Linked DNA regions of Kluyveromyces lactis. The protein of the gene in region 1 purifies or fractionates together with the protein of each later gene. This does not show direct contact. Links are inferred from orthologs where the notes say so. Each region holds a gene or a part of one and is shown in the gene's direction. Other genes may lie near its edges.

Region 1 (6,590 bases):
GGCACATCCTTACTGGACGTCATGCTCTACTTCTTTTTCTAAGTTCCGATGTTCGAATATTGTTCCGAAATCCAATATTTTGGGCCCCCAAAATCCCATATTGGTGCATATTTGAATGAAAAAAGAAAACGGAAAGAGTCTTTAACATGTAAAATTTCTATACAGATGCGATGAGATGTGCTTTGACCTAAAGGCTGTGGTTAGTAGGAGTAACTTGTATATAAACCTCGCCAAGAGTACCTAAGAACTATAATATCTATATTAAGAGATGTCTAATTCTGAGTTCAAGTCCTTAGGATGTTCAAAATGGTTAGTGGAAGCATTAAATGCGATGAAAATCGTGCAGCCCACTGCGATTCAAAAGGCTTGTATTCCTGAGATTTTGAAAGGGCGTGACTGTATAGGTGGTGCCAACACCGGTAGTGGTAAGACTATTGCTTTTGCAGCTCCGATGTTGACCAAATGGTCCGAGGACCCTCAAGGTATGTTTGGGATCGTCTTAACACCTACCAGAGAACTTGCGATGCAGATCGCAGAGCAGTTCACAGCATTTGGAAGTGCTATGAACATCAGAGTCGCAATAGTAGTTGGTGGTGAGAGCATAGTGCAACAAGCTATCGAATTACAGAAACGACCACATTTCATAATAGCCACACCAGGTAGATTAGCACACCATGTCCTGAATAGCGGGGAAGATACCATTGGAGGGCTAAAAAGAGTAAAATTTCTGGTACTAGATGAAGCCGATATATTATTGACGGAAACGTTCAGTAAGGACCTTGCTACATGTGTAAGTATTTTACCACCGAAAAACAAAAGACAGAATCTCCTTTTCACTGCTACTATGACAGACCAAGTGAAAGCTTTATCAGACGCTCCACAGACGGAGGGCAAACCTCCTGTGTTTACTTTTGAGGTTGAGTCTGTTGATAACGTCGCCATTCCGAAGACATTAGAGACGACATATTTGCTAGTCCCAGAGCACGTTAAAGAGTCATACTTATACCAGATATTGACCAGTGAGAAATACGTCAAATCAAGTTGCATTATTTTCGTTAATCGTACCGTAACGGCTGAAATCTTAAGAAGAACTTTGAAATCTTTAGATGTAAGAGTCACGTCACTTCATAGTCAAATGCCACAACAAGAAAGAACGAACTCTGTACAAAGATTCAGGGCACAAGCTGCGAGAGTTCTTATCGCTACTGATGTCGCTTCTAGAGGTTTGGATATCCCTATTGTTGAACTTGTTGTAAACTATGATATTCCTGGCAACCCAGATACTTTCATTCATAGAGCTGGTCGTACAGCGCGTGCCGGACGCCATGGTGAATCACTATGTTTTGTAACAGAAAAGGATATTCAAAGAGTAGAGGCAATTGAGGAAAGGATTAATAAAAAGATGGAAGAGTTCACCGATGTAGGTGATACAGCCGTGATTAGGAAGTCGTTAACTAAGGTTACAGCAGCAAAAAGAGAAAGTCTCATGGCCATGGATAAAGAAGGTTTTGGTGAAAGAAGGAAACTCCAAAAGAGAAAGAATGAATCCAAAGAAAAGACTCATAGACGTACATAAACTCACATAGTTGATAGACCTATCCACATATTCCATTTAAAAATCAGTCACGTGAATTCTGATTCTTCCTTAGAGAGTAATCACTGAAAAAAAAATGGTAACTTATTCTTTGAAGCGATGAGATCGAACCAGATGAGATGCATCGGCCGCCATAAAGGTATACTCTTACAATCTAACAAGTAATACAGACTCACCAAGCCATGTCAAGAGCTCAGGAGATAAAAGAAAAGCAAGCACTACTTGCTAAATTTCAAAATGGGTTTAGCAGTTCCACTGCTAAGGTGCTCGGATGGATAGAGGATTCTAAGACGTCATCTAATGATCTAGCAAAGGAGGATAGCAACGAATCAAAGAAGGAATTTTTCCAGTTGCCTGTCATTCAAATAGGAAGCGGTTTATCATTTGAGAACGCGCAAAGTACTGATGATACCGATATACATACCATTGGAGAGTTCATCAAAAGTGATAAGAAGGTCAGCTCTTTAGCCAAAAAGAAAAGAGCTACCAAGGACGTGCAACAGAGAAACAGTATACACAGAGTGAGGAAAGACGACTCCCAGGCTATGGTTTCGTTAAAACATAAGATAAGGAATCAGGAAAGACAGAAGATACGTAACGAGCTTCCGAGAGGCACAAATGTTTCGAAAGACCACAGTAAAAACCAATATTATACCAAATCGACTTCATCGCATTCCGACTCTTCCTCGGATGAAGAAGATATGGAACCTAAAGTACAAAAACATTCCAAGAAACAATTTGGCTTGCTATTTGCTGGAAAGAAATCCAAACGTTGAACGTGTTAATCATTCTTTATAAAGTGTAATTCTCCTGTATATAGACTAGCTTAATATGCATAGATGCATAAATCCAAGGTTCAAAGTCACGTGCAAAATTTCTTTTTCTTGAGGGTTCGCAGTCTCTTTTAAGAAAAATTTTGAGAAAGCTCATCTCATCGCATCTTGTTCTTGCACAGTCTGATAGTGCTTGAAAGCTGATTAATGTCTGCATTATAGGTATTCCAGCAAGGGCAGAAGTATCCACCGAACTCGATGAATTACACTCCGTTAGATCAGAATCACATGCAACATCAGCATGCTACAGTGCTATGTTGCAGTTGTGGTGTGCCTATGGATGGGTCCTCAGGGCTAGTTATGTGTTACGACTGTATTAAGTTGAATGTCGATATTACAGAAGGTATTCCCAGAGAGGCTAATGTTTCTTTCTGTAGAAACTGTGAGAGGTTCTTGCAACCACCAAGCCAATGGATTAGGGCTTCTTTGGAATCTCGTGAACTTTTGGCGTTGTGTTTACGTCGTTTGAAAGGCTTAAACAAAGTTCGATTAGTGGATGCATCATTTATCTGGACCGAACCTCATTCTAGACGTATCCGGGTCAAATTGACCGTTCAAGGTGAAGCTATGGCTAACACTATTATCCAGCAAACATTTGAAGTGGAATATGTGGTGATTGCCATGCAATGTCCGGACTGTGCTAGATCTTATACCACTAATACATGGAGAGCAAACGTCCAAATTAGACAAAAAGTTCCTCATAAGAGAACTTTCTTGTATTTAGAACAGTTGATTTTGAAGCACAATGCCCATGTTGACACCATTTCCATTAGTGAGGCAAAGGATGGTTTAGATTTCTTCTATTCTCAAAAGAACCATGCTGCTAAGATGTTGGATTTCTTAAATGCTGTCGTACCTATCAAATGTAAAAAATCCGAGGAGTTAATCTCTCAAGATATCCATACCGGTTCATCTACTTACAAATTCACTTTTTCCGTGGAAATTGTTCCAATTTGTAGAGATGATTTGGTTGTTTTACCTAAGAAGCTTGCCAAGTCTTTGGGTAACATCAGTCAATTTGTCATCTGTTCCAAGGTTTCTAACTCTCTCCAGTTCCTGGATCCAACCACTCTTCAAACGTGTGATTTGACTGCTCCAATGTACTGGCGTGAACCTTTCAGTGCATTAGCTGAAGTGTCCCAACTAGTTGAATTCATCATATTGGACGTTGAACCTACTGGTCAAGTTAGAAACAAATGGGTATTGGCTGACGTTACTGTCGCTAGATCTTCCGATCTAGGCTCCAATGACCAAGTCTATTACGTTAGAACACATCTTGGTGGTATTATTCATCCTGGTGACAGTGTCATGGGTTACTTTATCGCTAACTCTAACTATAACTCAGAGCTCTTCGATGGTTTAAATATTGATTACGTGCCAGACATCGTTCTAATCAAGAAACTATATCAAAGAAAGACAAAGAAGAACAGAAAATGGAAGTTGAAGAGAATGGCTAAGGAACACAAGGATATCGAAGCTTCTCAAGACTACACTTCAAGACAACAGAAACAAGAAATGGAACGTGCTGAAAGAGATTATGAGATTTTCCTACAAGAATTGGAGGAAGATGAGGAAATGAGACAAACAATCAATCTATATAAGAGCAACAAACCAGCAGAGCACGAAGGCGAGATGGAAGAAGATGAAGATGAAGATGCTCCACAAATTGATATTGATGAACTATTAGATGAGTTGGATGAGATGACTTTAGAAGATCAACAACAAGGTGAAGAAATGCTATAGAATTTGGTTTAGTCTCTTCTTGTTTGGACAATAATTACAATATATATTTACGAGATAGGCAAGTTAGTTGAATTTACTCATCATCTGCATTAGATCAATGATACAATGGCCGTCTTGTATAGTGTACACTAGTGAATATTAATAATTGGCATGTTTCAGGGTAACAATGCTTTCCTGAGTTTAGTTCATTCTTGTAAAAAAGACGTCGATTCGTAATACTACCCTGATACACTATACCCTTAACTGCAGTGCATAGATAAATAAAGTAAACCAAGAAGTACTATTCTTTCTTCATGGAACAAAACCTGAGTACCAGGAAAGATGCTTAACGATCTTAAGTTTTCACCAGCTTTTAAGTCTTTTGTTGATACCTCGTTTTTCCATGAATTATCAAGATTAAAACTTGAAGTGTTCAAGTTAGACTCTGCTGAGAAAGAATTGTTCTCTGCACTAGACCTTGAAAATATCACTTCTAACACTGTTTCACTCTCGCTTAGAGATGACAGTTTCGATCCTGTTCTCAATAATGAGGCAGTGACTTTGAAAGGGTCAGTGTTGAATTTTAATACTATCGAATCATTCAAATCCTGTGACAAAGTAAAGTTTATCAAGGAAAAGGGACAGCAATTACTAGAACAGGGCCTCAAGAATGGTCTCAAAGAGTGTGTTAGGTTTTATGTCATAAGCTTCGCCGATTTGAAGAAATATAAGTTTTATTATTGGGTTTGTATGCCTACTTTCCAGTCTGAGGGGTCATCGTACGAAATAATCTCAACAAAATCAATCGAAGATGGTGTAAAGAAGGATATATGGGAGCAGAACAGCTTTATCTCCTGTGTTGTGGATGGAAAGATTCAGGAAGCATCACCTCAGTATCTCAAAGTATGTCAGAAAGTCATCTTCAAGGACTTCAGTCGGCTGAAGGGCATTCCTGCCGCAGTTACTAAGAACTTTCTAACGGTTTGGAGTCAAATATCCACAAGGAATACGTACACCATATGTTTCCTTCGTGATGATAATTCCAGCTTCGCGGCAGAGATCAGAGTTACCGGGAGCAATACAGGATGTCTTAAGGTCAGCGGTTGGGAGAAAAATGGTCTTGGAAAATTAGCTCCGAAATCGGCTGACTTAAGCTCATTGATGGATCCCGTGAAGATAGCAGAACAATCCATTGATCTCAATCTCAAGCTAATGAAATGGAGGATTGCTCCTGACATTGATCTAGAAAGAATAAAGAACATTAAAGCATTGATCTTGGGGTCAGGTACCCTAGGTTGCTACGTGGCTAGAGCTTTATTAGCTTGGGGTACTCGTCATGTAACTTTTGTCGACAACAGCACTGTCTCTTTCTCTAATCCGGTAAGGCAACCATTATTCAACTTTGAAGATTGTGGGCGACCAAAGGCCGAAGCTGCCAGTGACTCTCTGAAGAAGATATTTCCTTCTGTCGTTTCTGCAGGTTATCAATTGGAAATACCAATGATAGGACATCCTGTATCGAACGAAAGCAAGCAGAGGAAGGATTATGAAATTTTGGACGAGCTTATAAGGACGCATGATGTTATATTTCTTTTAATGGATGCACGCGAGACGAGATGGCTTCCCTCGGTGCTTGGACGAATGCATGAAAAAATAGTTATTAATGCGGCCCTTGGTTTTGACAGTTATTTGGTAATGAGACATGGCAACAATAATGACAACCTGGGTTGCTATTTCTGTAACGATATCGTGGCCCCAAGTGATTCTCTAACTGACAGAACATTAGATCAGATGTGTACTGTAACTAGACCGGGTGTTGCCCTATTAGCGGCTTCCCAGGCTGTTGAATTATTGGTGACATATCTTCAGCCTTCGACGAACGTGCTTGGGTCAGCTCCGCATCAAATACGAGGATTTCTAAATGAATTTAAAACTGTAAAACTTGAAACACCGGCATATCAGCACTGTTGTGCAAGCAATGAAAATGTCATTTTAACTCTAAAGGAAAACGGATGGAATTTCGTGAAACAGGCGCTAGATGATTATAAGTGTGTGGAGCAATTAAGTGGACTGTCGAAGGTGCAAGAGGAGGCTGAATTGGCAATTCAAGAAGATATTTCCTTTGATGACGACGAGGAATTGTCAATAGAGTGAAGTATAGCCAGTGCATCTGACAGGCTGATGCGTGGAATGATGTGACATGCATTCCTTTTGTGATGAAGCGTAGAAATCGATATTCGTCGTTAGGAAAAGGTGTTTATCTCTGATTTAACGGTCAGGATGAAATTTAGTTTTATAATTCCCAAGATAAATATAAGTCTTGCACAATTTGCAGCGTATTACGCCATGACGGGCTTGGTACACCTACATAACTGGGCCTTTTTCCGTGATCCATCAGCTTATACCAGGCATGTTTTAGATGTAGACTAAACTCGTTATCC
Region 2 (4,321 bases), on another chromosome or scaffold:
AAGGTAAGCTTGCTTGCCTAATACAGATGAAATATAGGTCGAACATGGCAATTGCGATATTGTAGCTATTTACCAAATAAATTGGGTACGATATTTTTTTTGACGATCGGAATTTGTTCACTGTCCGCCCTGACGGATCACAAAGGTATATACAATATGTTTTGACTGGAAGCGTTATCAGTATACTTTAAATTGTGTCAACGTTGAAGTTACGATTGTTTTGTGAATTTATTAAGGCTTTTGACTTCTTGTTTAGTGAATAAGGTAATAAGTATAGGCAAGTTGACTTTTCTATCCAATAGTTCATTACGTCCAGCCTTGATTTCAATAAACGAGTCTAGTTTATTAAATTGATGTAGTGCTTTCCCGTTTTCAGTAGTCTTGAAGATCTCTATTATCGAAAGTGCTTTTTGTACATGAACTCCATAAGCAACAAGTACGAATGTATCAGCAGTGATAGCTGCGAGTTGATCCACACATTGTTTAATATTGGAGTTTTTACTGTACGAAATAATTGCTCCTACAGATGTCTCAGACGCATTGTTCCAACCTGCACTTCGCAGGGTTTCTGGGATGATTTTTTCTTTGATGTAGGTCGAACATTCTACGTAGGTGGAAGGATCTATGCCTTCTACTTCAATTTCGTTATATTTTAGTTTGGAAGAAGCCATCGTTGTTGCTTTGTAGCTAATTACTCAACTAAGGCGAGTTTCTCATCGATTGAATTATCAATACTCAATGCTACGATAACTTGGGAAGTTATTGTAGATTTCTTTTCGACGAGATGGGATGAGCATTGATACGATGAAAGCTATTCTGCGGACTGTTTACACCCTTACATATGTAAAAAATGTCAACACAACACCCATGCACCTTGATAAAACTCCAAAGGAATTAATTTCCTCTTTGACTAGTGGTCACGTGCATTTAAACAATGCAAACCCGTTGTATTAAGCAATACAACGTTAAAGTATTAACAAGTCCGGCATATGGATTGAATCCTCAGCACCAGATGGTTTTCAAGCGTAGAGGGTACATCCTGATACCATTCACTCAAGCTCCTTCTTTTTTATAATATACCATATGAGTTACACCTATTTCTGTATGATTAACGGATGCTTGTTTGTTTTTCATGTGGGCCTTAATTTGGAAATTGGAAAATCTCAAATTTTTCATCGCTGAGGGAAACCAAACTTGAAAAATATTGAATTTTATGATAAAACGTCCTTTACATATGAATATACATAATTGGATGTTAAGTACTTGATTAGATTTGTAGTTTGTATATAGTTTACAAGAACCACAGGTACTACCTTAAACATCCTATCACTAAAAAAGTCGAAATGGGGGGCGTCCGTGAAAAGAAAGCTGAATACTTTGCCAAGCTAAGAGAATACTTGGAAGAATACAAGTCTGTCTTCGTTGTTGGTGTTGACAATGTGTCTTCCCAACAAATGCACGAAGTCAGAAAGAACTTGAGAGGCAGAGCTGTTGTCTTGATGGGTAAGAACACCATGGTCAGAAGAGCTGTCAGAGGTTTCATCTCTGACTTCCCAGACTACGAAAAGTTGTTGCCTTTCGTCAAGGGTAACGTTGGTTTCATCTTCACCAACGATTCCTTGCAAGATATCAAGGAAGTCATCATCGCCAACAAGGTTGCCGCTCCAGCCAGAGCTGGTGCTGTTGCCCCAGAAGATATCTGGGTTCTCGCCGTCAACACCGGTATGGAACCAGGTAAGACTTCTTTCTTCCAAGCTTTGGGTGTTCCAACCAAGATTGCCAGAGGTACCATTGAAATTGTCTCTGACGTTAAGGTCGTTGACGCTGGTAAGAGAGTCGGTGCTTCTGAAGCTTCTTTGTTGAACTTGTTGAACATTTCTCCATTCACCTACGGTTTGACCGTCGTTCAAGTTTACGACAACGGTCAAGTCTTCCCAGCTTCCATCTTGGATATCACTGACGATGAATTGATCTCTCACTTCATCTCTGCTGTCAACACCATTGCTTGTGTTTCCTTGGCTGCTGGTTACCCAACCTTGCCATCTGTCGGTCACTCTTTGATCAACAACTACAAGGACTTGTTGGCTGTCGCTATCGCTGCTGACTACATCTACCCAGAAATTGAAGAATTGAAGGACAGAATTGAGAACCCAGATGCTTACGCTTCTGCTGCCCCAGTTGCTGCTGCTTCCGGCTCTTCCGAAGCTGCTGCTGAAGAAGCTCCAGCTGAAGAAGAAGAAGAATCTGATGACGACATGGGTTTCGGTTTGTTCGATTAAACACCTTATAATTATGGAAACAATAACAATTAAATTTTAAATTCACATATCGGTTTCAGATGATCAATCTGTATCTATAAGTTTAGTTAGTCTTTATTAATTTCTATCTTAAGCGCACAAATCTTATCGCATCAAATTATCGTGTCTTCATGGCGACAATTTATTTGTTTTTTGCCTGTCTAAGCGGTCCGCTCCATAGTAGTGTAGGTCAGATTATTGCTAATATTTGAAGAAAAACTGACGTCGGACACAAACTAGATTACCGTTCACTAACAGTTTGGTCAAAGTTGATGGCATAGCTTAGCAACTAGCACACAGGCGGTCTGATTAAGATGTCTTTATCGGTGAGGAGTCAAAGTCAAGATAATAAAGTCCTCTCAGATCTGTCTGAGAAGAAGTCATTTTTCAAACCTTTCCAGCAAGATAAGGATCTTGATGATAATCTAGTTTCTTTCGACCATGAAAGAGAATTCGTACAAGATCCTACTATTGGATCTAGTATCAAATTGGATGGTTCAGATGTGATAAAGTTTTCAGTTCGTGTTGACGAATCTTTCAGACTAATTTACGATAAAAATAATAATGCTTTAAAAGATGGTTCCAACACTCAAAATAAAAGTGAAGAGGCAGACAGTGAGAATATAGATATCATCGAAGGGGAGTTTTACTGGAAAAAGCTCAATAGATTGCTTGATGAGGACATTCTTCATGTATTCGAACCAAGAACTTCACATTTCATAGATTTCATTAATTGCCTCGGTGATGTCCCTGATTTATCAGATACAGAGTCATCAAGTGGATTCCTAGTTAACGAAGAAGATATAGTAGGCAAACACAAAGAATACGACATTGAGAACAGTTTAGCAGATCTTGGTGAGGTCATTTTGCAATGGGATATGGTATTAGGTATCTTTCAAAAGGTTAAAGATTTGGACATTGAAATGGATGTACTAGAAAAAAGTATAGACCTAGTAGCGAGATTTGTAAACGCTTCCCCAGATAATACTCTCTCAGTACTACTCAAAAAAGCTAAAGAGGAAATTGATAATTCTGAATGTAAATTTGTTGAAGGGAGGGGCAATTGTTTGGCATCTATCTTAGTACTTCAAACTGTTTCCCAAGTGCCACAACAATTGTTGAAAAGTCTTTTCTTTGAAGTTCAGGGCCAGAATCTATCATTATTGGAATTGAAACATTTGAAAGTCAGTTACAGTTTTTTGTTGGTGTACCATATGAATATGACGTTGTTGAGGAAGATTTTCGAAACATGTCTAAGTATGGGTTGTTCTTCTCAGAACGTATTACCATGCCTTGAAGGATTTATCTGGAATGCCATAGAGATGGACAAATCTGATCTAATAATGAGGATGGAAGAAGCATTTTGGAAATGGAATCAAAATGACAGATTTATTGGGCAAGAAAAAGTTCAATCTTGGTGCATCGAATTAATAACAAAGATGGAGACACAATTTAATAAAGATGCTGATAAGTGCAACGATGAGGATGCGTTAATGAATATCAAGGACAAGTACAATCTTGCCAAATTGTTCATAAATGAATTCAACGACATGTTATTTTCTACCCGTGGTGTTAACATGAACACTTTAGCAACTCGGGAATATACTGATATATTGACCAGATTTGCTAATAGCTTAGAGACAAGAATGTCAGGATTGTTTCAAAGAGATTTGTATAGTTTACAAAGATCCATATCTTTTTTGCTAACAGAATCTGAGTTCGAAAGCTCTGTGAAATCACTGAACGTCACTCTGATTGTAGATGCAATATCTAAACCATCCATGGACCCGTCCTCAATTGTTGCCAATCCCGGTACAATAGTAGAACGTGTATCAACATCTTTGTCGACTAGAGAGGCACAAGAGGTGGAAACTAACCAAAACCAGGAATTGATCCTAACTGAAGAAAATGCTACTCAAAGAGCTATAATAGAATGCGACACTATGCGATATGATGGATCGGTTTACTTTCAACCAAAACCTGTTGGGTGGATAGAATATTTAACTACCATGCCCGACAACGGA

Evidence for each region. The genes of interacting proteins can lie anywhere in the genome.
Region 2: the proteins of NMD3 (region 1) and RPP0 purify together in Saccharomyces cerevisiae (affinity purification with mass spectrometry; 4 studies listed by BioGRID, with this or other methods). This does not show direct contact. The link is inferred for Kluyveromyces lactis from reciprocal best matches to the Saccharomyces cerevisiae genes NMD3 and RPP0.

What each region holds. Positions count from the first base shown.
Region 1 is NC_006037.1:457,153-463,742, reverse strand, and holds NMD3 (ribosome-binding protein NMD3), read left to right. Parts: upstream 1-2,625; coding exon 2,626-4,170; downstream 4,171-6,590. Other genes in the region: ATP-dependent RNA helicase DBP8, read left to right, coding at 269-1,576; NOP19 (Nop19p), read left to right, coding at 1,777-2,370; ATG7 (Atg7p), read left to right, coding at 4,492-6,303. UniProt on the Saccharomyces cerevisiae protein: Acts as an adapter for the XPO1/CRM1-mediated export of the 60S ribosomal subunit. Unlikely to play a significant role in nonsense-mediated mRNA decay (NMD).
Region 2 is NC_006038.1:531,029-535,349, reverse strand, and holds RPP0 (60S ribosomal protein uL10), read left to right. Parts: upstream 1-1,343; coding exon 1,344-2,279; downstream 2,280-4,321. Other genes in the region: ribonuclease P/MRP protein subunit POP6, read right to left, coding at 210-671; KLLA0_B05885g (uncharacterized protein), read left to right, coding at 2,612-4,321. UniProt on the Saccharomyces cerevisiae protein: Component of the ribosome, a large ribonucleoprotein complex responsible for the synthesis of proteins in the cell.